4 linked regions of the Rhinolophus ferrumequinum genome follow. The protein of the gene in region 1 interacts with the protein of each later gene in a biochemical or structural test. Links are inferred from orthologs where the notes say so. Each region holds a gene or a part of one and is shown in the gene's direction. Other genes may lie near its edges. The genes, in order: SNTA1, ADRB1, SLC6A3 and DMD.

Region 1 (7,113 bases):
CACAACTCACATTTTTTTCTTTTGATTTTTTAAATTAGTTTCAGGTGTACAAAGCAACATAATAGTTAGACATTTAAACCTCTCATAAAGTGATGTCCCTCCCCCAAGGTACGACCCCTCTGACATCTTATATAGCTGTTCAATACCATTGACTATCTTCCCTATGTTGTATTCTACATCCCGTGACTATATATATATATACCTATATATTTAGTTATAGTTGACATTCAATATTATTCTACTTCAGCTTCAGGTGTACAGCACATTGGACACAGTCTATGAAATGATCCCCTGATAAGTCCAATGCCCATCTGACATCTTACATGATTTTTACAACATTGTTGATTATATTCCCCATACTGTATTAACTACAAATTTGTATTTCTTAATACCTTCACCTTTTTCACCCTGCCCCCAACCCTATTCCCTTCTATCACCCTCATAGATCTAGTACCTATCTGGCACCATACCTGTTATTACAATATTATTGACTATATTCTTTATGCTATACCCTACATCCCCATGACTACTGTGTAACAACCAATTTGTACTTCTTAATCCCTTCCCCTTTCACCCGTCCTTAACCCCCACTCCCATCTTAAAGAAGTCCCTCTAAGATTCCTTGTAATACTGGTTTGGTGGTGATGAGCTCCTTCAGCTTTTTCTTGTCTGGGAAGCTCCTTATTTGTCCTTCAATTCTAAATGATAACTTTGCTGGGTAGAGTAATTTTGGTTGTAGGTCCTTGCTTTTCATCACTTGGAATATTTCCTGCCATTCCCTTTTTGCCTGCAAAGTTTCTGTTGAGAAATCAGCTGCCAGTCTTATGGGGGCTCCCTTGTATGTAACTAACTGCTTTTTTCTTGCTGCTTTTAAGATTCTCTCTTTGTCTTTATCTTTTGGCATTTTAATTATGATGTGTCTTGGTGTTGGCCTCTTTGGGTTTATCTTTGGGACTCTCTGTGCTGTCTGGGCTCATACGTCTATTTCCTTCACCAGGTTAGGGAAGTTTTCTGTCATTATTTTTTCAAATAGGTTTTCAATTCCTTGCTCTCTGTCTTCTCCTTCTGGTACCCCTATAATATGAATGTTGGTATGCTTGATACTGTCCCGGAGTCCCCTTAAACTCTCCTCAATTTTTTGGATTCTTTTTTCTTTTTGCTGTTTTGGTTGGGTGTTCTCTACTATCTCATCTTCTACATGACTGGTTGGATCCTCTGCTTCATCTAAGCTACTGTTGGTTCCCCGTAATATACTCTTCATTACCATTATTGCATCCTTTATTTCTGACTGGTTCTTTTTCATGGTTTCCATCTGTATTTTTATGCTTCCTATTTTTCTGTTGAAGTTCTTCCTGAGATCATTGAGCATTCTTATAACCAGTGTTTGGAATTCTGCATCTGATAGATTGCTTATCTCTGTTTCACTTAGTTCTTTTCCTGGAGCTTTGTTCTGTTCTTTTATTTGGGACATGTTTTTTTTTTTTCCCTCCCCATTTTGGCTGCCTCCCTGTGTTTATTTCTAAGTATTAGGTAGGGCTGCTATGTCTTCCAGTCTTAGTAGAGTGGCCTTATGTAGTAGGTGTGCTGTGGGGTTCAGTGGCGCAGTCTTTCTGGTCACCTGAGCCGTGCACTCCAGGTGTGTCCCTTGTGTGGGTTGTGTGTGCCCTCCTCTTGTAGTTGAGTCTTGGTTGATAATTGTGTATCAATGGGAGGGACTGACCCTTGGGCTCACTGGTTGTGAGGACTGGCCTTGACTACAGTGGAAGAGTTGTTGTGTAGGGGCTGATCCTATGGAGCAGGATCTGCCTCAGCAGGACTCTGGTGCCTACCAAATCCGGCACTTGGGTGTGTCATACTCAGAGGCGGATGGGTAATGCCCCAGCTTGTTTTGAAGCTGCCCACTGGGGGCACCAGACCCAGGGCCATTTTGGAGGGGATCTGCTGTAGGTCAAGTTCAGCCAAAGCCTGTGCCCCACCCAGGGCCACCTGGCAGGAGCCACAAAGAAATCCACAGATGGCTGCTACCCATGCTGTGCTTGGAAGCGCCTTGAGAAGCCAAGCCACAATCCAAGGCCAGCTGCCGCTAGTGCCGCACTTAGGGCTGCTCAGCCAGAGGTACAGGATACGCTCAAGCCAGATGCTTCTTGTCTGGGTTCCATGGTCCTTTGAGAGACCCTAGGAAAGTCTGCAGCTTGAGCCAAGACAGGTGGTCTACACAAAAAAGCCACTGGAAGCAGCCTGGGTGTGCCCAAAAGTTGGGCAGGGTTGGGTCTCGAATTGCCCGTGAGTGGCAAACAACAGCAGACTCAGATATGGTGGCCGCCTGCATCTGCACTCGGGGAAGGGGGAGGGCTCAGCAAAGACACAACGGTCTCCACCAGTTCCCCCGTGCAGGAGAAAACTGCCTCTCTAGCCCCTCTCCCAAGCCAGACAACTCAGTTCCCCACCAAATGTCCCTGAGACCTCTCCAGCTGCTGCCCTAGCACTGGAGCTCAGAAGGAGTGATTCATTAGTGGGTAAGTCTGTACATGGTCCGTTTAAGAGGAGCACCTGAGAGTGCAGCCGCTCTCCATCTCACTCAGTCACAATCTCCGCTGGTTTTCACAACCAAAAATTATGGGGACTTCTCTCCCCAGCACTGGAACCCTGGGCTGGGGTGGGGCTGGGACCTCTTGCTCCTCTGGGGGCTGGGGGGACCCCCACAGCTGAAATAACCCCCCTGATCTTTAATGGTCACACACGGATGTGGGACCAGCCCATTCCACATCTCTGCCCTTCCTACCCATCTGGAGGTGGCTTCTTCTGCACATCTTTAGTTGAAAGCCTTCAGTTCAGCTTGATTTTAGGTGATTCTCAATAATGGTAGTTTTGTAGATTAGTTGTAATTTTGATGTGGTTGTGAGAGAAGGTAAGCACAGCGTTTATATTGCACCATCTTTGTTGTCTCTCACAACTCATATTTTTTTAATGCTTACTATGTGCAGGAATTAGGCTAAGCAGTTAGCCAGTATTATTTATTTCTCATAATAATCTTGGGGATAGTAATTTTAATATAGTATTCTCATTTTATAGATTATGAAATGGAACGTTAGGGGTTAAATAAGTCACCCAGAACCACATAGATAGAAAGTGGCACAGTGAGAATTTGAATACAGAAAATCAGAAACCAAAGCCCATGCTCTTAACCACCAAGGGATCCTGCCTCTCAGTGGACTGTATGTTCTATGAGGCAAGATACTAACTATCTTGTTTACAACTGAATCCCTACATCCAGCACTGTGTCTGGCACATAGAAGTTGTTCAATAAATATTGTTGAATGAATGAATGGATTGTAAACTCAGCTTTTGCTGCTATGTGGCCTGCAGAAAGGAGAAGCAGGAGGGATATGGGCTTGGAAGCCAGACAAACCAAGGTTAAACTAGAGGTCTCTTCTTACTAGTGGTGTGCCTCAATTTCCTCATCTATAAAATGGGGACAATATACAGGCTATGCAGGATTTATGTGAGATTTAAATGACAATGTATGTAAACCAGCCAGTTCATGTGTCAACATACAGCAGACTGAATAAAAGGCATCTATGTATTATATGTGCATGTGCACATATAATACATATATGTTATGTAGGTGGCCTCAGGGGGATTTTAGTAGTATAGAACCATTTCCCTCTTGTTGGACACTTGGATTCATCTCTGGTTATTGACTTAAACTCAAGGCCTGTCCTTGGAGTCCAGTGGTCCTCTATACGTAGCCCCGCCCCGAGGTTCAAAGCCTTGCACCAAGATCCATGTCTCTTTTTCTTATGCTCCTAAAAGCGTGAGTTACGGTCCAGGCCCTCGACGGCCTTGCTCAGCAGTCTCCACGATTGGATGCTAGGGCTCTGCCCCAGGCACTAAGGCCTCTGCCCTCGCCCCTCCTCTCCCCGCCAGCTCCCGCACCTCACTGATCCCTATCCTTACTTAGCGGCCTGGCCCGGACGCCGGTATGGTCCCACCCGCAAAGTAGTCCCGCACTACACATCTTTCGGCTCCTGGACTCCGCCCCAGAGTCCCGCTATCTTGCCTTCGGCCACACCTCCTAGATAGCCCCGCCCCTCGAGGCTCCACCCCCCCAGTCGCCCGGGGTAGGGTGGCGGCTGTCCCAGCCGGGCCCCCTGCGCCCTCTGCCCTGGGTGCTGGCTCGAAGCGGGCCAGACACTGCGGAGCAGGGCGAACGCGGCGGCCCGGGGGCTCCAAGGCGAAGATGGCGTCAGGCAGGCGCGCCCCGCGCACCGGGCTGCTGGAACTGCGCACCGCGGCGAACTCCGGGGCCGGCGGCGAGCGGTGGCAGAGGGTGCTGCTCAGTCTGGCGGAGGACGCGCTGACCGTGAGCCCCGCCGACGGCGATGCCGGCCCGGAGCCCGGCGCCCAGCGGGACCCGGAGCCCGCGCAGCTCAACGGCTCCGCGGAATCAGGCACCGCGCCCCCGCAGCTGCCGGAGACGCTGCTGCTCCAGCGGCGCCGTGTGACTGTGCGCAAGGCCGACGCCGGCGGGCTGGGCATCAGTATCAAAGGTGAGGTGAGCGAGGAGGCACTGAGGGCATAGGGTCTTGGTGTCTTGGTGTCTGTGGGCCTCCGAGGGACCAGGGCTCGCGGCGTCTGGCAGCATACCAAGGACACAGAATTGGAGGACTTCTGTCTGGGGGAAAGGTGGTTTAAGGGGACAGAGGGAACCGAGGGCACCCGGAGCACCAAGGTCGGAGATGGGTTCGAGAGTCGGAGGTCTCCGTCGAAAGGCACAGGTGTGGAAGGGTTTGAGGGGCGCACCAAGGACACGTGGGTAGGGAGTTCTGTGTAGAGGCATAGAGATCTGAGAGGGGCTGCGTGGGCATCAAGGAAAAGGGGAACCCCAGGAAAGCAAAGGGTGGCGAAAGGCGATTGAGGCCTGGGGCGCCACTAGGGCAAGGAGGGGGAAGTCTCTGAGACGACCAAGGTAGGGGATAGGGCCTGGAGTTCAAAGCGCAGGGAGGGATTGGAGATGAGGCGTCTGCTGTGCTCATGTACAGGGGTCCAGAAAGGATCTAGAAATCTGAGGACTCAGGAAAGCTGTGTACTTAGGCAGAGCCGCGTTTCAGTTTACTGACCACCTTGCCCAGGATTGAGAGGGGTGGACATAGAGTTGTTACTCCTTTTTGAGAGCTCTCAGCCCCCAATATTGACAGCTTTTTTTAGGGTGCAACCAGACTGTGCTTGAGTCCAGGATCAACTGTGTGAATGTAGACAAGTCATTTCCCATCACTGGACCTCAGATTTCTTAACTACTATATTGTGAAGCTAATGATAGAGTTGTGATGTTTTTATGAGAACAGGAGTCTAAAGTACTCACCCTGCCATCACATAGTAAGTGCCTAGTTAATTATTGCTGTTAGATGAGAGGGAAAATGGAGGCCAGGAAAGCAACTAACCATATTGCTTAAAATCTCTGCCCCCATTCCCCCCAACGGCTGTTGAGTTCACCATTCCTACCCATTTACTTCTCTCAGTGTCTCAGCCCCCAGCCGAGTGCTATCTGCCTTGGGAGGGGGTGTCAGCCCTTGTATCTTCCTGGATATGCACTGTTCTCTCTTCCTGGTGCTGGTTCTGTTTTTGGTACCTCCAGACCCTTTGACTTGGGCGAGGGGGTGGGGATAGTGATGACTTGGCTACCACTGTGTGCCATGTGTTATGCTCAGTACTCTGGGCTCACGATTCACTTTATCCTGGCAACAAGTGGTAAAAGGTAGGGAACATAAACCTTGTTTTACAGCTGAACGTACTGAGACTCAGAAAAAAAATGATTTTCCAAGGATCACACAGTTAGTGAATGGCAGAGCTGGGATTTGAACCTCAATTATCAGGCCACTGGAGAGTGCCTAGGGAAGTCAATTCTTCCCCGTGGAAGGGCAAATCTCCATGCAGCCAACGAAAGGGATCTAAAAGAGGGAAATGGGTAAGCCAGGGAGTGGGCACCAGTCTTGCCCCAAAACTCCAGCGTAGGATAGGGCAACAGATCAAATCTGGAAATTGTACACTCAATGTGTCAAAGCAGGAAGGAACTTAGAGTTCATACAGAGCTCCATTTTGCAGATGGACAAACTGAGACTTGGAGAGGAGCAGAGACTTTCCAAGGTCATATAAAGTTATACCCTAGCTCCATACTTCCAGGTGGGGGTGAAGGTACTTTTAGGAGGCGTCAAGGGAGGTACCAGCTCCATTCAATTCTTCATGTATGGAAACCAGGCTCTTGTTACCATGATGACCTCCCCCTCTAGGGTCCAGCCCAGTCCAGGCAGCTAGGAATGCACTAAAGTCCCCAGTTTCAGGCAGAACAAGGCAGATATAAATAGAAATCCCTTCCTTTCCTAGTCCGTAAGCTCTGCAGTGCAAGAAGCAAATTGTTGGTCCTGTGTGGGGGTCACAAGAGGTTTCTTTCCAGTCCTACCTCTGCCACCAATTTGTTATGTGACCTTGAAATAATGATCTACTTTTTCTGGGCCAGTAGTACTTCATCTTTAATATTTTGGGAATGGACAAGTAGTGTGATATCTGAGGGTCCAACTTGCCGTCTTCCATAGGGTGAAGAGTACTGGTTCTGAAGCCAGGAAACCTCAGTTCACATACATACTGGCTTTGCCACTTAAATAGCTGGATGACCTTGGACAAGGGGCTTCTATCCATACTTCAATTTTCCTGATGGGAAACTGAGCCTGCCTGTGTGATTGGGGTGTTGTGAAGATGCGATGAGACACCACTGACAACATTTAACACATTGCTTGGCACTTGGTACATGGAACTAATGTGAACTGTTATTACTATTTCTTATTTTAAAAGGTTATTCAAGAGTTTAGCAATAAAGCAATTGGGTAAAATGTATTAGATTTTTATGCATCAGAGATGAAATTCAGGCAGGCTTTTGAAATCTCTAGACTTTTAAGGCTTGGTTTCCAGCCTGGATCCTGGATTATAAAATTTTCTGATTGCTAATGAGATCCCTTGGAGCCATATCAAGAGCTGACTTTTATTGTAATGCCGGATTAGGGAGGTATCCCCACTATGGCAAAATTGCTTCAAGTCCAAAATATTTAAGAAAAAGCTAGT
Region 2 (7,840 bases), on another chromosome or scaffold:
TACAAATATATGGTTCTATATGAGATTTCAAGAAGCTTTCACATACATTACCTCATTTAATTTGAGCACAACCCTGGGAGGGAGCGAGTGGCGAGTGCATTCTACAGAGGAAGCCACTGCTGAAGGTCACAGGGAAAAGTGACAAGGCCAGGACACAAACCTTGATCTTCTGCCTCCCAGGTCTGAACACTTTCCAACACATCCACATTTTGAAAAATATTATTATTGGCTCTAGCACTGTTCAATGTACTTGTTAGACATACCAGGAACAGGAGGAGGAGGCAAAGATGGAGGAAGTTTCCAAATAGTCCACACTTGTCTATGATTATACCACTGTCCTCTGTGCTTGTTCTTATCATAATGGATGGAGTTGCTTCTCCCTGTGTAAACTGTGACTGCAAAACCATTATATGACCTTAAGTACCAGCCACGGGTACAGGCTGTTCTTTTGTTACTTAGTTCTGGGTGACTGTTTCAGCAGTTGTATTGCTTGATATGAAAAGTTGTCTATCTTTACTCAGAAGTAGCCATTTGAGCTCTGATTAACAAATCCCACCACTGATTATCAGCCTTGAGGCAATCTTGCTTACTTAACATTTATTGATTTGATACATTTATTGGGGCTTTATTTGAAAATTTCCCCATTTCCACTGGCCCACCTTCCAGCAGTTGTCTAGTTAGATTATCCCTTTTACTTTTACCTCATTTTCAAGGTAAGTCAACTCACGAGGGGAAATGTCTTCACCAAGCTCATGGCTTACAACCATAGGTGGGTTGGATACCTATTAACTACTGCTGTGTGGATCTTTGATTTAATCTAAAACTTGAAACCAGGTTCAAGTCATGAGCTATTCTCCAAGGGCAAAATGCCTGCATATATAGTATCATAAAGCTTAAAAAAAAGGTCATTTACCTTGAATATTTATGAAGATTAAGTAGTGCTTTTTATGGCTGTGGACCTGCATGGCCCCTTTGGAAAACCTCTTATGTCCCATTTTATTCATTACCAAGTAGGTATAAATTTATCTCATGAGCCTACCTTGTAATTGTAAAGTATTTTTAAATGCTTATGTGAAAATAGTGACTAGGCTATAGGGACATAAATTATTACTGTAAATTCTAAGCATGATGTAAGATTATAACTCTAAAACCACTCAATAATTTCTCACATTAGTAAATATAAGAATATTTCAATAAATTAGACATTACATATTTATGAATCAAAGCTCCATGTTAATTAATATTAAGCAAATGTTACATCATGGGAGATATAAAAATGTACAGGATAATCCTGGCTCTCAGTGATCTTACAATCCATATAAGAAAAAGGGAGAGAAACCTATAAAAATTAAATAAAAATATGACAGATGTGAAAAGGCAAAATATTGTTGACACATGAAATGCAATTATCAGAGTAATCACTGTAGGTAGAGGAAGGAGAAATCACTTCCAGAAGCAGGTGGGCAGAAATAACTGTAAAATAAAAAAGATAGATCTTGAAGACTGAATCCACTGAGACAGAGATGGAGGAAGAAGGGATTCTTGATGGAAGCAACCCAGGGAGAGTACAAATGCGAGAGAGAGAGAGAGAGAGAGAGAGAGAGAGAGAGAGAGAGAGAGAGAGAGATTAGATCTAAAAGAGAGAAAAAAAATTCAGAAGTTCAGGTTAGAGTGACATGGAGAGTTCTAGTCCAAGGTAGTACTGGGAAGGCTATAAGGCTATTCGGAACTGGACGGTGGAAATCTCTGAATGCCAAGCTGAGGAGTTAAGGTTTTTCAACAGAAAAACATCTTGGTCAAAGAAGTGTTTTAGAAATACTAATTTGGTATGGCATTCCAAATTAAATGGAGCAGGGAGGATTAGAGATCAAAGAGATCAAAGAGAATGCATAGCAAGTTCAGGTGTGAAATGATGGTAGTGGGATGGGAAAGGTAGAGGTGCGACAGGGAATATTGAGGAAGAAGGCCACTAGCTCTCAGGTGTGCTGGTTAGCATTGATTGTTGGAGCTTTCTGTCATTTTCTAAAATCCTGTCAAATCCACGGGTTCCTGAGAAGTGATTCATTTGAACAGTTGTGAGTGGGAATGGAGAAATTATTCATTTTGAACTTGCAACATGTAATACCTGTATAAATGGATATATCGGACCTTTTCTTCTTGATCTTGTATCCTTATCTAAGTACAAAAAGTGTTAGCTCAAAAATGTCCAAAGAAGAAGAAGAAGGAGAAGGAGAAGGAGAAGGAGAAGGACAAGGAGAAGGACAAGGAGAAGGAAAGAAGGAAGAAGAAAAAGAGTGCCACAAAATGTAGGAATTAAAGGAGATCTGAGAACATTTCATTTTCAAAGAAAGCTAACTCTAGTTGAACCTGGACTATTCCAAACTTTTCCATCAATACCACTGAAGGAAAGTCCCTGGGATCCCCTGCAGCCCTCTAGTGGAACTCCTATTAAAATAACTTTCTGGTTTTGAAGATTTATGATTTAATGAATTTTTTTATCCAGAAATTCAGACAAGCTTGAATGAGCAGGGGGGTAAGTTTCAGGAGAGTTTTTCAACAATTCTCCATACATGGTGTGTTTATACATACTATGTATACAAATACATGTATGGATACATAATGTATACAAATACGTACATATTTATAGACACAGTAAAGGTATTGGCATCTGGGCTTCTGCACTGAACCTCTACAACCAAGTTCTGGTCTTATTGCTGACAGAATGCAATCCCTTCATCTTTCAGGGGCACTTGAGCTTGGCACACTATTCCAATAACACCACTTGACAGAAAGATGGCTCTGATAGAAAGCCTCCTCTCCACATTCCCTACACTTCACCCCCGAGCCCAGCAGCACTCAGAACCCCTTTCCTGGGAAGTGTCAAATTCAACTCTTTCCAATCCCTTGGCTATTTTGAGACTACCTCTTGCGGGTGGGTGTGGGGTTCAGGGGGTACAGAAAGAAGCCAGAGGGGGAGACAGGAGTGCAGTAACTTGGGTAACTAAGACTCTCCAGAGATTATACTTAACTCAGGGTATAGTTCCTGTTCCTCCCTCTTTCTAGACCCTCTTCTTTCCTTGCTCCCCCTTCCTCAACCTCTCCAGTTTGGCAGAAATAGGCTGACAAGTCCTAGGGCAGGGATGAATGAGCAAATAAATCACCATCCCCCCAACACTCTGATTACAACTCTGGGCCTAAAACAAATTTATATGTTGAGATTCACATAAGAGAAGGTGGTTAAAACTGCTTGACTTTATAAACTGAATAAGCATTGCTTTTAGCTCTAGACATGGGTTGGTGTGGAAGTCAATCTCTCTGCAAGGTAAGAACGAGTTTGGTCCAAAAGCTAGAAAGATGCGTGAGCATTACATAACATTTTCATGCACCCGTATATGGGTAATTGGAAGCTGTCTACTTCTGAAGGATTCAATTAAAGGCTTTTTATTTTCAAGGTTGAGCTGAGGACCTTAATTTGAGAGGGGGCTTGCAGTCCTGCTGCATTGTGTGCTCCTGGTGGCTATCCTGTCTGTTTGTCCCCACACACAATCCACAGACAGCTAGGCACACAACTCACTAATTTCAAACTGATTCATTTGCCAACTCAGAAACCACTGATATAATTTTAACTGCTATCTGATTTTAATCCTCTTGAGTATTTACATATTTTCTTCTCTCATCCCTCCAAAATTAATCCTAGAGTTCTGAGACTCTGGGAACTTGGACAAAGGAGAAAACCAAGCCCACCAACAAATCTGAAATCTCAGTTCATTACATCAACCATAACTAACAGTACTTTTCTGTTTGTAGTGACCCAGCTCGAATTATAAAATCATGTCAGTAATAAAACACAAAATGCAGGTGTTATTACTGAATGGGAAAAGTCTGAAATGTAATTAAATGTGTTCTTTCTTCACCGCAGTGTCATTTTCTCTTATGTCTAAACATTTGTGTTTCCTTAAGCCTCTCTCTCTTTATAGCATCCACACTCATTGTTGCATTATACTCACATTATGCATTAGTTGAGACTGGGGAGTGTCCAACTGGTCCTCAGCACTAGCTGTCAGATGCACAGACCTTAGCTTCCTTTCTGCATCTACTGCACTGGTACAACAGAAGCTCCTTGCAAGAATAGCGCCCAGAGAGCGTTCCTGAGGGATGCGTCGTTTGCTCTTCTAGCAAGGCGCTCTGCTGCAAAGTTTCCTCTAACCACTAACACCCGCTTCCGATCCCCTGAGCTGGCAGGACGCAGTCTGGCTGGGTCCCCTCCTTGACCAGGAAAGGGTTTTACACACACTCTGCTAGGCTGCCCGATCCGAGAAACAATCTCCTCCAAACCCATCGGACAGGCTGTCAAAGGTGTCCTGGGGCTGGGAGAACACCGAGCTTCCCTCCCCGCAAAAGGGAGAACTCGCTCCGCTCCGCAGGAAAACTGGGCACTGGACGTAGAGGGGATGCCAGGGGACGGGGGCGCAGGAGGGAGCCGAACGCAGGAGGCAGAAGGGGCGAAGAAGGGAGCGCAGCGCAGGAGAGAGTGGGGGCCTTAGGAGAGGGGCAGGGACGCGGGTGGGAGCTGGCCGCAGCACGGAGCTTGGGGGAACAGGGCGCAGGAACCAGCAGGAGCGGGAAGGGGCGCGCGCACAGGCACCGGCGGGCGCCGGGCAGGAGCTCACTGCTCGAATCGTCCCGGACTCCCCAGAGCCGCTGAACTGCGGGTGGGAAGGGGTGCGGGGCGTTGGGGCGGGGGGGTGGGGGGGAACCAACTAGGGGCGTGCCTTTGTCGGGATTGGCTGCAGGAGCCTGACGCGAAGTCCGAGGGGTTGGCTTGCGGGAGTAGGAGCGGGGTGGGGTGGATGCTGGGTGCCTGAGCTGCGGGCTCAGCGCGCTCAGAAACATGCTGTGGTCTCGGCGGCTGTTCCAGCAGCGGCAGCGGCTCCAGCAGCAGCGGCGGCGGCGGCGGCGGCGACAGAGCTTGGCTCCCGCAGGGAAGGCGCCCGGCGCCCATGCCTCCGGCTCTGCGCAGCGGCTGCCCTGACCTGGCCGCGACCTTCCTCCGCGCGCCCGGACGCCCCAACCTCTGGGGTGTTCCCCAAAGACGGCCCAACCCCGCCACACACCCCGCCCCCGGCCTCCGCAGCTCGGCATGGGCGCGGGGGCGCTCGTCCTGGGCGCCTCCGAGCCCTGCAACCTGTCATCCGCCGCGCCGCTCCCCGACGGCGCGGCCACCGCAGCGAGACTACTGGTGCCCGCGTCGCCGCCCGCGTCGCTGCTGACCCCGGCCAGCGAGGGACCTGTGCAGCTGTCGCAGCAGTGGACCGCCGGCATGGGCCTGCTGATGGCGCTCATCGTTCTGCTCATTGTGGCGGGCAACGTGCTGGTGATCGTGGCCATCGCCAAGACTCCGCGGCTGCAGACGCTCACCAACCTCTTCATCATGTCCCTGGCCAGCGCCGACCTGGTCATGGGGCTGCTGGTTGTGCCGTTCGGGGCCACCATCGTGGTGTGGGGCCGCTGGGAGTACGGCTCCTTCTTCTGCGAGCTCTGGACCTCGGTGGACGTGCTGTGTGTGACGGCCAGCATCGAGACCCTGTGTGTCATTGCCCTGGACCGCTACCTCGCCATCACTTCGCCCTTCCGCTACCAGAGCTTGTTGACCCGCACGCGGGCGCGGGCCCTCGTGTGCACCGTGTGGGCCATCTCGGCCCTGGTGTCCTTCCTGCCCATCCTCATGCACTGGTGGCGGGCTGAGGGCGAGGAGGCCCGTCGCTGCTACAACGACCCCAAGTGCTGCGATTTCGTCACTAACCGGGCCTACGCCATCGCCTCGTCTGTCGTCTCCTTCTACGTGCCCCTGTGCATCATGGCTTTCGTGTACCTGCGGGTGTTCCGAGAGGCCCAGAAGCAGGTGAAGAAGATCGACAGCTGCGAGCGCCGCTTCCTCAGCGGCCCGGCACGGCCGGCCTCGCCCGCGCCCTCGCCGGGGCCCCCGTGCCCCGCCGCCACCCCGCTGGCCAACGGGCGCACCAGCAAGCGGCGACCCTCGCGCCTCGTGGCCCTGCGAGAGCAGAAGGCGCTCAAGACCCTGGGCATCATCATGGGCGTGTTCACGCTCTGCTGGCTGCCCTTCTTCCTGGCCAACGTGGTGAAAGCCTTCCACCGCGACCTGGTGCCCGACCACCTCTTCGTCTTCTTCAACTGGCTGGGCTATGCCAACTCGGCCTTCAACCCCATCATTTACTGCCGCAGCCCCGACTTCCGCAAGGCCTTCCAGCGCCTGCTCTGCTGTGGGCGCCGGGCCGCCCGCGGGAGCCACGCGGCCACCGGCGACCGGCCGCGCGCCTCCGGCTGCCTGGCGGTGGCCGGGCCGCCGCTGTCGCCCGGGGCCGCCTCGGACGACGACGACGAAGACGACGTCGGGGCCACGCCGCCCGCGCGTCTGCTGGAGCCCTGGGCCGGCTGCAACGGCGGGGCGGCGGCGGACAGCGACTCGAGCCTGGACGAACCGAGCCGCCCCGGCTGCGCCTCGGAATCCAAGGTGTAGGACCGGGCACCCCTCCACACCTCCCAGCCGGGACGCGGGCTCTGCGCGCCTAGAGGAAGAAAGCCTAGGCGTCCCTGAATGGCTTCCCAGGGGAAAGAGATATGTGTTTACTCAAGATCGAAAGCAGGTGAACTCGGAGCCCACAAACCTCATCTGAATCATCCAAGACAAACAGAAAAGCCACGGATCGTTGCACAGAAAGGAAAGTTTGGGGAGGGGTGAGAGAGTGGCTTGCTGATTTTTCTTGTGTTCTTTTTCCTGTTTGAGGTTCGATCTTCTTTTGTGTGTGCGTATGATGCATCTTTAGGTTTTGTTTTGTTTTTGTTTTTGTTTTTGTTTTTGTTTTTCCCCAGGTGTTTTTGACACGTTCTACGAGGACTGGGTAGGGCAAGGGAGAAGCATGACGGGGTAAAAGTCTATCGACTTGACTTCCCGGGAACAGGAGCGGTCAACCGGAGCGAGAGGGGGAATGACAATTTGTCGGGACATGTTTCCTTTTGCTTTCCAGAGAAATTTCATTTTAACTCCTGAGTTATGATTTCTCCTGTTCCTAAAGCAAAGGGAAAGGGTGTGTGCGAAATCCACGTTAGAAGAAATTGTAAGCTATTCTTGGAACAAGCCTCACCTTGCTTTCCTTTTGTAGGATAAGCCTGCTGTCCCCGTGCGCCTCGGTCGTCAGGCTGAGGGGTTTCTACCTCACACTGTGCACATTGCACAGCAAAATAGAAAGACTTGTTTATATTAAACAGCTATTTATGTATCAATATGAGTTGGAAGGACCAGGCACTGAGCCTCTGTGACATGTGACTGTCCATTGAAGACAGAACAGAAAAAGAAAACAAAAGAGGAAACAGTTCAGATTACTAAACGTGGGTAAAAACAAAACACAAAACAAAACAAAAAAAGGAGTGGTTAAAAATGCCATTTTTGCACAGTGTTAGGAATTGTAAAGTCCACAGAAGATGTTACTTGCACAAGAAGAAATTAAATATTTTTAAACGTGGGCGGGGGAGATCGTAAAAACTAAAATAAAATTGAAACTCTACTTCTGTTGTCTATTATGTTATTTAGCTAATGACTTATTGGAAAAATACCTTTTTATACTCTTTTATCATGGTACTGTAATTGTATCCATATTATAAATATAATTATCTTAAGGATTTTTTAATTATTTTTTTATGTCCAAGTGCCCACGTGAATCTGCTGGTAAAATTTAGCACCTGTGTGTAAATTCTATTTTCCTCTGTGTGTTTTACCAAGTATTTATACTCTGGTGCAACTAACTACTGTGTGAGGAACTGG
Region 3 (7,370 bases), on another chromosome or scaffold:
GGCCTTCTCCCCTCAGACTCAGCAGGTGCTGCCGTGGCAGCCCTGACCTGAGCCCTGGCGGCCAGGGCATTTGGGAGACACAGTTCCCGGGGTCCAGCTGAGTGCCATGGAGAGTGTTGTAGAGCTCAGCCATCCACTGGGATGGCCATAGTAACATAAGACGCACGGGGACGTAGCAGGGTCACCGAGGGCAGGACCCCACTGAGCCTGCGGCTTGACGATAGCACCTGACTTCTCACTCAGGGAGCAGCACCAGCGTGTTCCTGGTCTGCTGGTGTTTTTTCTTTAGAGAGGTACACCCAGTCAGAGCTGCACCAGCTCACTCCCTCCCTCCAAGGGGCTGCCAACCTGCAGGCTGGGCTTCCCATTTCAGGAATCACATGCTGCCCATAAGGTTCACTGCCTGAGGTAGATGGTCTTTTCAGTCCTTTACACACAGTGTGAGGGTGGTCAGCAGCAAAGTGAGAGGACAGAGGCTAGAACAACTGGCAAAGGTTGTGTGACGCATGAACTTGCTGCCCCAGCACGTGGGAGCCCTGTCATTCCTGCAGGAGATAACTGAAGCCACAGGAGATGACATAGGGTCAAGAGGCGCGAGGGTGGCCTCAGCTCAGTGCCCAGCGAGGGTACAAATGCTATGGCTCCGATGGTCCCCTTACGTCTAAAGCAAAGGGAGCTTCCTCAGCAGCTGACTTAACAAAGGGCGGCCAGCTGAGCCCCACTGGCCACGAGCAGTGCCTTAGATGGTCCACACCGCAGCATCCTCTGTCCTTCCCTGCACCCTGCTGCCCCCGCAGGTCTCTGCGATACAGACGGACCAACAGCCTGAGCAGCGTGTCCGGTGGCACGGCTTTAAGGCCCTGCCATGTTCTGAGCAGCGCTCTTGGGAGCAGGCCTGTTAAGGTCCCTCTTTGTCATAGGGTGAATTGTGCCCCCAAATCCACGTGTTGAAGTTCTAAGTCCTGGGACCCCAGAAGGAGATCAGGTCTTTACAGAGGTGATCAAGTTAAAATGAGAGCATAGGGTTGGCCCTGGTCCACTAGGACCGGGACGTTTGGACATGCACACATGTGCAGAACACCTTGTGAGCGTGAAGGCAGAGATGGTGATTCTTCTACAAGCCCAGCAGCACCACAAACAGCCAGCCCACGGCAGAAGCTGAGAGAGGCCGGAGCACGTGCTCCCTCACAGCCGAAGAAGCAAACCTGCCCACACCTTGAACTTGGACTGCTGGCTCCAAACCCAGAGAGGATAGTTCTGTGTTTAAGCCCAGCCTGGGCACTTGGTCATGGCGGGCCAAGCAAACCAGTCATCTTAAAACCTAGCCTCTCAGAGCCCCTCCCATGTGCTGTGCCACTGCAGCTGGTCCACAGGGAATGGTGAGCCATGCACAGCCCCAACAGTTGGCAGGACGTGCCGTGCTCTGCCTGCCTTTCGCCCCTGCTTGGATTCTGAACTTAGGGCACAGTTCCAAGCAGGCAAAGGGCGGACTTTAATCAGGGTTAATCAGCTCTTAACTGCACCACTTCCACCTGCACAGGTCCAGAGGGCAGCGGCCCTGTCTAGGAAAATGGAGAGCACAAGAGCATGGTTCTGGCTTCTGTCCTGTGGGCCAGCATGCTGCCACTGCCGCCACCACCACCGTGTCCCCAGTTGTTCTTCACTAAGAGCTCCCAACGGTTGTTGCCAGCTATCCTCTCATGTGGTTACATGTGAGGGCATGGCCGGGGTGGAGGGCTCCTGGGTGCTGGGCTGTTCTCTTGGTTGGCCTACGTGTAGGTGAGAGAGGGTGGTCACCCCATTGTACCTCTTGCAGCCACGCACTGGGGAGCCATGCACTTAGTCTGTGTTACCCACACAGAGGACGCTGTCTGCCCCCACCACCACCCCGCCACAGCCCCGTGTGCTATTGTCACCGCTGCTCCTTTCCTTGCACTTTGTTGGCTGGTGTCACAGTTATCCCCTATAAGGCTCGCATTTCTTCCCAATGTTTCTTATTCAGGTGTGTGTGTGTGTGTGTGTGTGTGTGTGTGTGTGTGTGTGTTTAATATATATCTGAACTCACGGGTTCTACCATGTGCTCCCATTTAAAAGAAAATCATTTTCTTGGTGTCCATTTGTGTCCTTGAGCCTATTTTTGTTTTTTGTTTTTGTGGGTTTTTTTTTTTTATTTTGGGGGAATATTGGGGAACAGTGTGTTTCTCCAGGGCCCATCAGCTCCAAGTCATTGTCCTTCAATCAAGTTGTGGAGGGCGCAGCTCAGCTCCAAGTCCAGTCGCCGTTTTCAATCTTTAGTTGCAGAGGGTGCAGCCCACCATCTCACATGGGAATTGAACCGGCGACCGTGTTGTTCTGAGCTTGCGCTCTAACCAACTGAGCCATCCGGCCACCCCTCTGGAAGCTCAGTGACAGCTTGTTGTCTTCAATCTAGTTGTGGAGGGTGCAGCTCACTGGCCCATGTGGGAATTGAACCGGCAACCCTGTTGTTCTGAGCTCGTGCTCTAACCACGGAGCCATCTGGCCGCCCCTCGAGCCTGTTGATTACCACTGTACTCTTCCTGTTTCTTGAAACCTACGCTGTTGGGTATATGTGGGGAGAGACAGCCCTGTGTGAGGGTCACTCCTGAAATCCTGTCCCGTCCCCGAGTGCTGTGGCCTGCATTGTGTCCCTCCAAACTCACATGTTGAATCCGAACCCCCAATGCAATGGTGGTAGAAGGCAGGGCCTTTGGGAGGTGGTTGGGTCATGAAGGTGGCACCCTGGGGATGGAACTAGTTCCCTTATACAAGAGGCCCCACAGAGCCCTGCACTCTGCCACGTGAGGACACGGCAGAGAGAAGACATTGGTGAACCGGAAGCCTCCAGACAGAGATTCTGCCCCTGCCTTGATCTTCCACTTCCAGCCCCCAGAACCGTGACAAAGAAATGTCCGTTGTTATAAAAGCTGCCCTGTCTGTGGCCTTTTCATTACAGCAGCTGGAAAGGACTGATACACCAGGCACAGGTTCTTTCTGCTTGATGCCAATGAGCCTGGCAGACAGTTCCTTTGTGCTCTGGCTGGGTACCAGCCCTGTCCTGGGCACCGGCTCCCCATCAGGAGGCTATGGGGAAGGCAGTGACTCTGGTCTCCAGGTGGAGGCAGGAGCTAGTGGGGGAAATGGTACTAAGGAGGTGACAGGGTGTGACAAAGGGACACTGCTTCCATGACCCTGCTGAGCAGCTACATCCAGACAGGGTGGAGAGCCTGGAGACTCGTGTGGATGCCCCACGGCAGTGAGTGTACAATGGCAAATCAAAGGACACATGCCAGGTAATGGGGGGGGGGGGCACCCAGCCTGGCGATGCCAGAAGAGACCACTCACCTTGATGCCTGAGGTCCTGGGTCTCACTTGATGGCCTGGAGATCCACTCCTCCACGTGGTGCTCTACTCCACGTGCCCACTCAGAGGATTCTGAGTGGGTTTGGTCCTGGAGCAGGTACCCACCACCAAGCCGTTGGGGAAAATCATTTTCTGATGCCAGCGTGATTCCAGCCACCTGATGCCAATTGCTGCGCCAGATGTGGGCAAAGCATGGCGACGTTGCCTGGACACTGCCAGCCACAAAACGACCCGCCCGTGTCTCCACAGCCAGACCCCGGCGACGTCAATACTTCGGGGCCGGGCAGGAGTTGCCGCGGCGGGGCTGAGGACTCAGACAGGACACCACTCGCGCGACCTGGGATCCGCTCCCCGCCGGCCGCCCCAGCTCCGCGCGTGAATCGTTGGGGGAGAGGTCCCCAGGACGCCGGACCTGGGCGGCCGCTGGGGAGTCGGTGGGGCCGGGCGGCTGGGGAGAAGGGTCGGTGTAGCATCAGGGTGGGGGTCGCGCAGCAGCGAGGGGCGGGCACAGGCGTGGCTCGGCTCCGCCAGGCGACTTTTCAGCTGTGGCCGGCTCCCTCCCGAGGGCCGTCTCCTCCTCCCCCGCCGCGCTGAGACGGAGTTCTGGGTGGGTCGTGGGAGCCCCCGAAGCAGACGTAGATGCGCGGGGCAGGGCTGGGGGTGCGGGCGAGGATGGGAGGGAGCCCTAGACTGGGCCCGCTGGGAAACAGCCCGTCTCGGTCCTGCCACATCTGGCACCCAAAGGCGGCCCCGCACCCGTCTGTCGGAGGTTTCCGGACACGCAGGACCTGTGGCAGAGCGCTCCGAAGGCCGCCGGCTCCCGCCGGCTATCCAGATCCCAGGGGCGGGTGCAGGGCGCGGCCGGGGCTCGTCCCCCGCCCACCTGGGGCGGTGCGGAGGCGGAGCCAGGCGGGCGGGCGCCCCCGACGGCGGGCGGGGCGGGGCGGGCCTCGGAGACACGATAAGAGCCGGAGGTCGAGACCGCCCAGCGCACAGCGGCAGGAGCCTGAGCTTTCGCGGGTGCTGAGCTGAGGGACACCAGCTCAGAGGCAACTCGGGGCGCACAGGTAAGGCCGGGGCACTCCGTGGGTGACTCCTCGCATAGACGCCCCCCGCGTTATCCTCCGGGCTCACGGTTCACTCTGTGGACCCCGAAAGCTGCAGCCGAGGGTCGCCAGGTTGGGCGGAGCACCGTCGGCAGGCGCCGCGTCCCGCAGACGGCAGCGTTTCCACAAGTCGCTAACAGCCGGGGGTGCGTGCACAGCGCGCCCCGGCGGACAGTGCTGGAGACCGTAAGGTGGTCAGCCGCCGAGAGATATGTGCACGAGAGGGGGTGCGGGGCTGATGCGCGCTGGGTTCCTGGCGACGTCTGTGTCATAGTGTCTTCCAAACCACTATATCTGGAAGGGGCGGCCGTCCCCGGCTTCCCGCGGCGCGGGCACCCGGGGGTGCGCAGCTGTTTGTGGCGGAATCTTCCGTGTTGGACCAGTCGCCGCGCAAGGTGAGGCGGGCCTGGGCACAGCAGTCCCCAGATCCGATCCGGGGGATTTTCTCAATCAACGCTCCATCTCGCAGCGTTTTGTCTTTGATTTTGAAGGTGGAGCTGGGGGCGCTGAGTTGCGGGTTCTGTGCTTCCAGGCTGATTGCAGGAACGGCCAAGGGGAGGACAGCGTCTGAGCCAGCTGCGTTTCTCTTTGGGGGTGCTGTGACGAAAGACGCTTTCTAAGAGGCCACAGTTTGTTTTCTGTACCCAAACCTGGCCTCTGAGGCCGCAGCTCCAGGAGTGACCTGGCTCACCCCAAATGCTGGGCGTGGGCGTCCCTGGCAGGCGAGGATCCGATCAGCCTGCGTGGGCCTTATCAGAGCAAAGGCCGGAATCCGCCGTGCCTGCAGCCCCAGCCGCTCCAGCTGCACCCCCGCAGGCCAGTCCCACCTGCTCTGCATCCCGTGCAGCCCCCTGGGGGAGGTCTTCATACACAGCAGGAATGTGCTGTTGGGTTTGTAACAGAGGTAAAGGGGCCACAGAGAAGGTGCATAAAATAACTCACATTGTGAGTTTTTGTTCAAACTTGGATACAGTGGAGAATTCCCTTTACAGCTGCCACCCCATTATGCTTCTGCTTCAGCCACTGCATATGAGTGCGTGCGTATGCTAGCATGTGTGTGTTCTAGCATGTATGCACCCACACGTGTGTGAACAGGTGAAACCATGCTGGTGGATCCAAAGGCCATAACAAGTCGCATTTGAAGCTGCTCATGGCCACCAGGGCCCAGCTTTCTGTTGGCTGTGACCGGAACAGCTTCTGTGGTCCCTGGTGGCACTGCCCAGGATTATGGAAGTGACTTGGAAGTGAGCTCCCTGATAACACTGCCGAGTCCAGGAGCTCGTGGCCCCTCCCCTAAATCCGCATGATGCTCTCGCCCCTGCCCCCCTCCTCCAGGTGGGGCTGGTGAGCTCTGGCCCCTGGTGGGCGTGCATCTGCAGGCACTCTTCCAAGAAACTGTTGTAATCGTTATCTTTAAACGTTCCTTCCTGTGGCTGATGTTGGTTTAAAGACTAGCTGAGCGCTCTTGTACAGGCTTGGTGTCTAATGTGGGTTGGAGACTGAGATTACTCCCTGCTTCATTATTGTTAAAAGCAGAATTCCAGACCACAGGAGCCCTGCACTTTGATAGGAATGGAGAAAGGAGTGGGGGACGGGGGCAAAGCAGATGTCCATGCTGAGGTTTCCACAGCTTGTCTCCTCAGGACCTCAGGAGAGCTAGCTCATCTCCTGTCGCCCCCAGCCCTACCCTGTCATCATAGCTTCTCGGAATGTGTTTGCTCTGCCCCACAGAAGAGATTGTAAGTGCTGGGACCTGTGCTCTTGCTACCAGCATTCTGGCTACAAACTCGTGCATTCCTCTGTGTTTATCTTTCAAGCTGGCTGGAGACCAAGAAGGAAGAAGCACAGAACCCTAGACTGCAGTGTGCCATGAGTAGGAGCCGGTGCCCAGTAGCGCTGATGTCTTCCACGGTGGCCCCAGCTAAGGAGCCCAACGCTACGTGCCCAAGGGCGGTGGAGGTTGTGCTGGTCAAGGAGCAGAATGGGATGCAGCTCACAAACTCCACCCTCACCAGCACCCCACAGAGCCCCGTGGAGACCCAGGACCGGGAGACGTGGAGCAAGAAGATAGACTTCCTCCTCTCGGTGATCGGCTTCGCAGTGGACCTGGCCAATGTCTGGCGGTTTCCTTACCTGTGCTACAAAAATGGTGGGGGTGAGTCTCCACCTGCTGTCCTGGGCGTTCCTGTGGGCTAGAACCCCAGGCAGTGGAGACAGTGCCCTTGAGGAATGCGTGCACTCTGGCAAGATCACCCTGTTTTCTCACTTAACATTAGCAGGGCACAGACCACAGATGGTGTCACAAAACCATAGAGGTGGAGTTCAGAGCAACCACTATGTCTGGACTTCACGGCTGAGGATGGTGAGGCCAGGAGAGCAGAAAGCAGGAGTTAGCGGTCAGAGGCTCCATGGCTCGGCCTTCTGTTTCCAAAGGGGATTTCACTTTGGAAAGGAAATTCTCAAAGGCCCACAGAAGGGTGCTTACAAAGTGGGCGGAGTCGCTTGAGCTTGAGTAGCAGAAGATGCCCTGGAAATGTACCCGTCCCCCCTTGAACTCAACCACAACTGTCTCTGGACTCAAGGCAGAAAACTAAGATACAGGGGCAGGGTCACCTCAAAACTCAAGTTGAGAAGCCAGTTAGTTGGAGATCATGCCCACCCCCCTGCTGCCGCCCCCGCCTGCTGCCTCCCTGCTTCACCGGTCACAGCACAGATGGAGGGCCTTGGATGACGATCTTGGGGGGAGGCGGGGGTTCCTGACACTCCCAGGAGGAGGCTGGCATTACTGTGCCCAGCTCAAGGGGAGCAGACTGATGCCTCAGCAGGTACAGTGAGTGGCCCAAGGACAGGCAGAGCTGTGGGATCTCCCTGCCCCCCATCCCA
Region 4 (7,683 bases), on another chromosome or scaffold:
CTATCAACAGACACCCAGGCTGCTTCGACATCTTGGCCATTGTACGCAATGCTGCAATGAACATATGGATACATATGTCTCCTCCAAATAGCCTTTGGCTTTCTTCAGATAAATACCCTGAAGTGGGTTTTCTGGGTCCTTCTTTGTCTCTTGGTATAACCTTTGTTTGAAAGTCTATTTTGTCTGATGTAAGCATGGCTTCGCCAGCTTTTTTTGTTTGTTTCCATTTTCATGAAACATCTCCTTTCATCTCTTTATTTTCCATTTGTGTGTGTGTCTTACAATATGAAGTGATTCTTTTGTAAGCAGCATATGTAAGGGTTTGGGGTTTTTTTATCCATTCAGTTCTCCTGTGCCATTTGATTGGAGCATTTAATCCATTTACATTGAAAGTAATTGTTGATAGATATGTAGCTATTGCTATTTTATTATTCATAATTTTGATCTTTTTTTCCCATCTTAAAGGAGTTCCTCTAACATTCCTTGTAATACTGGTTTGGTGATGATGAACTCTTTTTGCCTTTTCTTGTCTGGGAAGCTCTTTATTCTTTGATTTTAAATAATGACCTTGGTTGGTAGTCTTCGTGGTTGTAGATCCTTCCTTTTCATCATTTTGAATATTTCCTGCCAGTCCCTTCTGGCCTGCAAAGTTTCCGTTGACAAATCAGCTGACAGTCTTATGGGAGCTCCTTTATAAGTTACTCTTAGGTTGGTGCAAAAGTGATTGCGGTTTTTACAATTATTGCTAACCTTTTAAACCACAATTACTTTTGCACCAACCTAATAGTTGCCTTTCCCCTGCTGCTTTTAAATTTCTCTTTGTCTTTAAACTTTGCCATTTTAATTATAATGTGTCTTGGTGTGGGCCTGTTTGGGTTCATCTTGTTTGGGACTCTCTGCACTTTCTGGGCTTGTATGTCTATTTCCTTCACCAAATTAGGAAAGTTTTCAGTTATTTCTTCAAATGGGTTCTAAATCCCTTGCTTTCTCTCTTCTTGTGGTACCTCTATGATGCGAATGTTGTTACACTTGATGTTGTCCCAGAGGTGTCTTAAACTGTCCTCATTTTCTTTTATTCTTATTTTTCTTTTGCTGTTCTGATTGGGTGTTTTCTGCAGCCATTTCTTCCAAATTGCTGATTTGATCCTCTGCTTCATCTATTCTGCTAGTGATTTCTTCTAGTGCATTCTTCTTTACAGTTATTGTGTTCTTCACTTGTGACTGGTTCCTTTTTATGGTTTATATGTCCTTTTTAGGCTTGCTATCTCTTTGTTGAAATTCTCACTAAATTTCTTGAGCATTCTTATTACCAGTGTTTTGAACTCTATCCGGTAGGTTGCTTGCAGCCATTTCATTTTGTTCTTTTTCTGGAGTTTTCTCCTGTTCTTACATTTGGGACATATTTCTTTGATTCCTCATTTTCACTGCCTTTCTGTTTTTCTTTCTATGTATTAGGTAGTGCTGCTATGTCTCCCAGTCTTGGCTGGGTGACCTTATGTAATAGGGGTCCTTGGGGCCTCGTGGCACAGTCTCCCCGGTCACCTGCTCCAGGTGCTCCAGCAGTGTCCCTGTGTGGGTTGCGTGTGCCCTCCTGTTATAATTGAGCCTTGATTGCTGTTGGCATATCTTGGTGGGTATTGACCCTCAGGCTGACTGGCTGGGAGGTTTGGCCACATCCACAGCTTATGGGCTGCTGTGTGGTGGAACCTACCATATGGAGAGGGATTTGCCCCAGCAGGTTTTGGTGCCTGTTGAGACCGCCCTTTGGGTGTGCCACTTGTGGGGCTAATTGGGTGGTACTCTGCTGTGGTCTGAAGCCAACTTCCAAGTATGTTGGTTCTGAAGCCTCTTGGGAGGGGCTCTGGTGCAGGCCCAGGGAAGCCACTGTCTGTGACTGGCTGGGAACTACCTGGTAGGAGCTACAAAGTGATCCATGATTGGTCACTACCTGTGTTGTACCGGGAGGTGCGTTGGAGAGGCCATGCTGCAAACTGAGGATGGCTGCCACCAGTGCAGGGTCTGCAGTAGCTCTACAAAAAGCCAGGAAATTCAGAGGCCTGCTGCCACCTGCCAACTCCCATAAGCTTTAGCTGCTGATAAAGCCTCCTGCAGTATACAAGTCAGGTGAGGCCAGGTCTCAATGAATCAACAGGGTGGAGCAGCAGAGCTCACTAGGCCAATCAGATTCAGATTAGGCCTGTGGAGGTGGACTCAGCACAGGAAAAATGGTGCCCTTCTGCTGGCTGCATTGGAGAAGGGCCCCACACAGGGAAAATGGGGACTGTTCCTCAGTCCTTGCCCCGAAGTTATACAACTTAGTCTCTACCCATGTCTCCAACGCCCCCATGGTTACCATCCCTCCACCAGAGCCCAGGGTGAGTGTCTGTGTGGGCTGTTAAAAGGACAGCTGGGTTTTCCACAGCCTTCCGTCCTATCCTGACAGTTGGAATCCCCACTGTTTTTCATAGCCAGAAGTTGTGGGGGCTCCTCTTGTTGGCACCAGTTTTCCGGCTAGGGAGCCTGGTGTGTGGGGCTGGGGTTCCTTACTCCTTCATGGGGAACCTCTTTGGCCAAGATATCTCTCTCAATTTTCAGCTACCACACATGGGTGTGGGACCAGCCCCTTTTGAGACTTCACCCCTCCGACCAATGTTGATGTGGCTTCTTCTTTATACCCTTGGTTATAAAACTTCTGTTCAGCTAGACTTTAGATGGTTGTCCAGGCTATTTTTTCTATAATTCAGTTGTAATTTTGATGTGTTCATGGGATGAGGCAAGCACAACATTTATCTACTCCACCATCTTGGATCTTCTTTGGTACTTTATATAATTAACCAAGACAGGTGTTTGGTATATTTGGAGCCACTGTTGGTTTGAAAAACGACAGGGTTTTTCAAAATTGGCCATGCATTAGGATCACCAGTAAAACACAGAGTGTACCAGGTCCTATTCGCAATTTCTTATTTTCCAGGTCTTGTGTACTTGCATTACTAAAAAGTTCCTATGTGATGCTTTGTGGATCACACTGTACAAATCACTGATAAAACTATACATATGCCTTAGCCTAAACATGAGTTTATATCTGTAGGAAACTCACAGTACAAGGTGTAAAGGAACTCGTACTCTGAGTGATATGATACCCATCGCATAGGGCATTGATGCTAACATGCAGACTTGGATCCATGTCAGTCCTAAAACATTTTTTTATGTTTTTATGAAATTGTTGCTTATATGCATATTTAGACAACCACGCTAAGGAGAGGAAAGGAGGAAAGCTATGGAGAAGAACATTTTAAATCCTTTTAATAATAGCACTTAAAATACAGTTACATAACATTAGGCCTTATATTTTCTTTCATATAGATTTTGTTAGGGAGGAATGGTAGTATTATGATAATGATATTCTAAAATATAAAATGTATAATTCACTATTAAGGTTAATATCATAGCTTGACTCAATATGTCAGTTTTTCTGTATGTTTGTCTATAATTTATTTATGTCCCAAGCAATTGAATGGTTGACATAAAAAAATGAGACTGTCACTTTAACAAATGGTACTATAAAAATACTCAGACAAATAATTTTAACAGAGATTATTTTAATTGCAAAAGGAATATCTTTCTAAAACATGCTACCAATGTTTCCTATAAATATTGGGCTTACCTGTTGCATTAAAAATAAAAATATGATAATTTTATTAACCAATGTCACCCAAATAAATTTAGTATAAATAAATTATAAAAATAAGAAAGAAGATAAAGAAGCCTTCTAGTGGCAAATAATTATTTACAAACATGTTGAATGATACATTACAATTGTGTTCATTTAATACAGAAAAAAGCATCTATTGCGAGCAATTAAAAAATTTGTCATTAACTCAGTGTCTAAGAGAATGTTGTTGTAATAATTGTCACCAAAGAAGTTGAAGAAACAGTAATTCGTTAGTTAAAAATGTTTTATCAAAAGCTACAATGGGAATTTCATGTTTGAGTAAGATTTCTTTGTTCCATTATTAGAGTGTTCTTTATTTTAGCAGGAACCTCATCCCGTGAGACCTATACACATTCTGCCTTCAGAGCTCAGCTGTTCAATTCTTCTGTTGTTTCTCTTACTCAGACTGTTGACATCATCAATACATGACTTTTGATTGGATCCCCAGAGTAGAAATTAAGTTTGGTAAACAGTGGATACATAAGGCGTGCATAGATTATTCTGGGCATTTCCTTTTGTTTAGTGGAGTGAAAATTTTAGTGTTGTTAAGAAGGTAAAATAAGGAAAAGCATTTAGAAGTCTATTCTGCATCAGGAGTTTTTGCTCTGTTATTTTAGAAATGTGCATAGAAGTTACAGAAAGTATTGTTACAGTTTTGCACTAAAGAGGTTCTATGTTAAGAAGGCTTTGAGAGCAAGTACTGTGTCCACTGTGCTATTCTGGTTTGGATATTAATCAGAACACAGTTGAACATTATTTGAATTCACAGGACTTGCCATGCTGGAAGCACAACCTTATATGTAGTGACCATGGGCAGTCCTATTATGGGAAACCAACTTGAGAGAAGAGGCGGGTCACTTGCTTCTGCGCAGGTCCTGGAATTTGAAATATCCAGGGGCCTCTACAGAATCCTGGCATCAGTTACTGTGTTGACTCACTCAGTGTTAGGATCACTCACTTTCCCCTTTCAGGACTCAGATCTTGGAGGCAATTAGCTTCAGAGAAAAACGGACTAGGAAAAACCAAAGTGTTATTTTTTAAAGGCTGCTGGAGTTGTTTGGTTTCTCATCATTCCTAAACCTACTGGAGCAATAAAGTTGGGAGAAATTTTACCAAGATTTTTATCGCTGCCTTGATACACATTTTATTTTCCAAATGCTTTGGTGGGAAGAAGTAGAGGACTGTTGTAAGTACAAAGTAAAAATATTTTTTACAGTGGCATAACTTTTAGTTTGTGACAAGCTCACTGATTAGACAGATTGATTTTAAATTATTATAATATTTTGTGAATAACCATAAATGTTACATATTCTGCGTACGTATATTTGTGCAGGTGTACATGTTTCTCATTGTGAAAACTTTTCAGTAGAAATGAGGTAGAGTTTAAACTTTTGTTCTTACAAATATAATCAAACACATCTTTCTTATTTAAGAAACCACTAAAGTAATAGAACATGCATCACTGGCCTGGAGTATTTGCAACAAACCATTTTAACTGCTGTGAAATCGTTTGTGAATCTGAGTTATTATCTTGATTATTTGATACTTCTGTATTTAGTAACGGTTATATGTTGGGGTAGTGACCTGGCAAATATTCTCAATGAACTAGTTGCTGTGTGGGCATGATTTGTGGAGATCTCAAGATTAGAAAAATTGTATCTGGCGTATCATGGGGAGAAATTTAAAAAATAAAATGAATGGTGATGGATAAATGGAGGTTGAGAAAAGTATTGATAAATATTTAATTTAAAAGTTCCTTTCTCATATTACATTTAGTGTTTTGAATGTTCTTTTCTGTAATAATGATATAATCTATGCCATCAAATGATCAGACACTTTTCTTGAGAAAACACCATAAAAACATGAGAGACTTCTAATTATATTTCACAGTAAAGTCACTGTGTTGTTTCATGTCTGTGATGACCTAGCTTTTCAGTAAAGCTTTTTAATTTGAATTTTATGTAAAGCACAACTATTTTGTTTATTTTAAGAAAGTTATGATGACTAATGAAAAATTTCAAAATTGACTGTGACACAACAATAAAAATAATATATGAGGAGCACAGTGTGTCCCAAAGAGGTGGATGAAGTAGACAATCTTTTTTTCCTGCCTTTGACTTCTGGGTTATAGTCATTCTGAAATAGCTATGAGGGCAATGCTTATAAGTAAGAATGAAAAACGTAAATCTCTCCAAATAAGTAAGTCTTCAAAACTTCTAGAAAAAGAGTCATAACAGAAGTTTTGCCTCTGAGAAAAATTTGTGGAAAAAAGTTTACATTGTACAATTGCTGGCTCACATTAGGTCTTTCCAGAGTTTATATGTAGTGAAACATTTCTATATAATACCCTTATTTTATAAATTTCTTGGAGAGCATCAAAATTGATTTCTAATTGAAAAACTATTCCATTTACTAATATTACAAAAATCCAGTAGCCTATATTCTTTGCAACACACATACATAATTGACTGATCAAGCAATCAGTATATTTACAAAATTAAAACCATAAACCAGTGTATAGAAAAACTGAGAAAGAATAGCAAAGATTCAATTCTGGAATGAAGCAAGGCAAACTTACTGTCTGTTTTGTCATAGATATTCAAATAACTTTTTAAACTCTTAACTAGAATTTGAAGATAGCTAACCTTTTTAGGACAAGCCCTGTACAACTTTATGATAGTACATTTTAAAACTATCAGGTAATGTTTATGCTACATGACAATGGGTTTGTGAAAAGAAAATGAAGATATTCACAAGGTTATATTATACATTAACTTTTACTAATTGACAACATGCTACTATTTGAGTGTATTGACATTTGTGTCTAGTTTTTAAAATTGCCTTAGTTTGAAAACATTGAGAGTACATTTGGTTGGTTTTTAACCAAAATAGTTACCAATTAATAGAGAGGATCATTGTATTAGACAAGAATTGTTCACGGTTAGAAATACTCAAGTATTGCCTTGCAAAGAATTATTCAAATAATTTATTGCAAATATACATTTCATTCAAATTTTTTAAATAATGCAAATTATCTTTAGGTCTAATAAAATCGTCTTTTAGAATTTCATCTGCAGAGTCTTTTAAGGACATCTTAACTATGAAAAAGAGCTTGCTGAAATAGAGAGTATAGCTTTTATTTTAATAAGAAGTTTTCTGTGTCTCTTACATGGCATAATATTATGGAATATACAGTGGAGAACATCATGTAGAGTTACTCTAAAACTTACAAAATAGACTACAAAGTGTTTTGTGTAAGTGTATGTTATTTAAGAAAAAAGTTGTTGGTTGACACTACTCCAGCTAGGCAGAACTGAAATATTTGTTCTTAATTTGGACAGAGATATTAGTATAGCTTCCTCTTGAGTCCTGAAGTATTCATTTGAAATCCTTGTAGTCCAAGTCATTTGCTACATATGAAACAAATTGTCAAGTTTCTTAACCACTTGTGTGGTTTAATAAAAGAGATTAAAATCTTCGTTGTCTTAGAAATACAAGGTGGGTTTTTTTTTTAAATTCTGTTTTATTATCTTTCATCATGGCTTTATCACAAGGATAAAGCAGTGATTTCCCAAACCTTCCTTCCCCTTCCACTTTCTCCTGTACTAGTTCCCTAACTTATTAAAAATGATTTATTATATTTTTCATTAAACTATTCTTCTATTGCAAATGCAAGAAACATGGTGTTTTGGTGTGAGTATAAATGTTTAAAGAAACATACGTACACCTGTAATCACAGAGTTAATCACTTAAGAGAAACATTGAAAATTAATTGGAAATTAACTTTTCTTTAAATGTCATGTTTTGTTCATTGACTTATTTTCTATTTTAAACGCACGTCATTTATAAGAAATTTACAAATAAGACTAATGTACGTCCTCTGTCCAATGAAACATAAGTGTAGAGCCTCAAGGCTTAAGTGTTCAAAGTTTCATGGGAAGTCACCTCTGTATGAAGAAATGTGTTGTGGA

The links.
Region 2: the proteins of SNTA1 (region 1) and ADRB1 interact in a test that uses a peptide from one of them, tested with the Homo sapiens proteins (2 studies listed by BioGRID and IntAct). The link is inferred for Rhinolophus ferrumequinum from reciprocal best matches to the Homo sapiens genes SNTA1 and ADRB1.
Region 3: the proteins of SNTA1 (region 1) and SLC6A3 interact in a test that uses a peptide from one of them, tested with the Homo sapiens proteins (2 studies listed by BioGRID and IntAct). The link is inferred for Rhinolophus ferrumequinum from reciprocal best matches to the Homo sapiens genes SNTA1 and SLC6A3.
Region 4: the proteins of SNTA1 (region 1) and DMD form a complex in vitro, tested with the Homo sapiens proteins (2 studies listed by BioGRID, with this or other methods). The link is inferred for Rhinolophus ferrumequinum from reciprocal best matches to the Homo sapiens genes SNTA1 and DMD.

What each region holds. Positions count from the first base shown.
Region 1 is NC_046306.1:21,487,592-21,494,704, forward strand, and holds the start of SNTA1 (alpha-1-syntrophin), read left to right. Parts: upstream 1-4,100; 5' UTR 4,101-4,240; coding exon 4,241-4,550; intron 4,551-7,113. UniProt on the Homo sapiens protein: Adapter protein that binds to and probably organizes the subcellular localization of a variety of membrane proteins. May link various receptors to the actin cytoskeleton and the extracellular matrix via the dystrophin glycoprotein complex.
Region 2 is NC_046299.1:13,973,290-13,981,129, reverse strand, and holds the start of ADRB1 (beta-1 adrenergic receptor), read left to right. Parts: upstream 1-4,839; 5' UTR 4,840-5,140; coding exon 5,141-6,538; 3' UTR 6,539-7,840. UniProt on the Homo sapiens protein: Beta-adrenergic receptors mediate the catecholamine-induced activation of adenylate cyclase through the action of G proteins. This receptor binds epinephrine and norepinephrine with approximately equal affinity.
Region 3 is NC_046290.1:831,301-838,670, reverse strand, and holds the start of SLC6A3 (sodium-dependent dopamine transporter), read left to right. Parts: upstream 1-4,360; 5' UTR 4,361-4,448; intron 4,449-4,478; exon of another isoform or gene 4,479-4,882; intron 4,883-5,019; exon of another isoform or gene 5,020-6,304; 5' UTR 6,305-6,356; coding exon 6,357-6,642; intron 6,643-7,370. UniProt on the Homo sapiens protein: Mediates sodium- and chloride-dependent transport of dopamine. Also mediates sodium- and chloride-dependent transport of norepinephrine (also known as noradrenaline). Regulator of light-dependent retinal hyaloid vessel regression, downstream of OPN5 signaling.
Region 4 is NC_046284.1:99,556,654-99,564,336, forward strand, and holds the start of DMD (dystrophin), read left to right. Parts: upstream 1-4,665; 5' UTR 4,666-4,867; coding exon 4,868-4,898; intron 4,899-7,683. UniProt on the Homo sapiens protein: Anchors the extracellular matrix to the cytoskeleton via F-actin. Ligand for dystroglycan.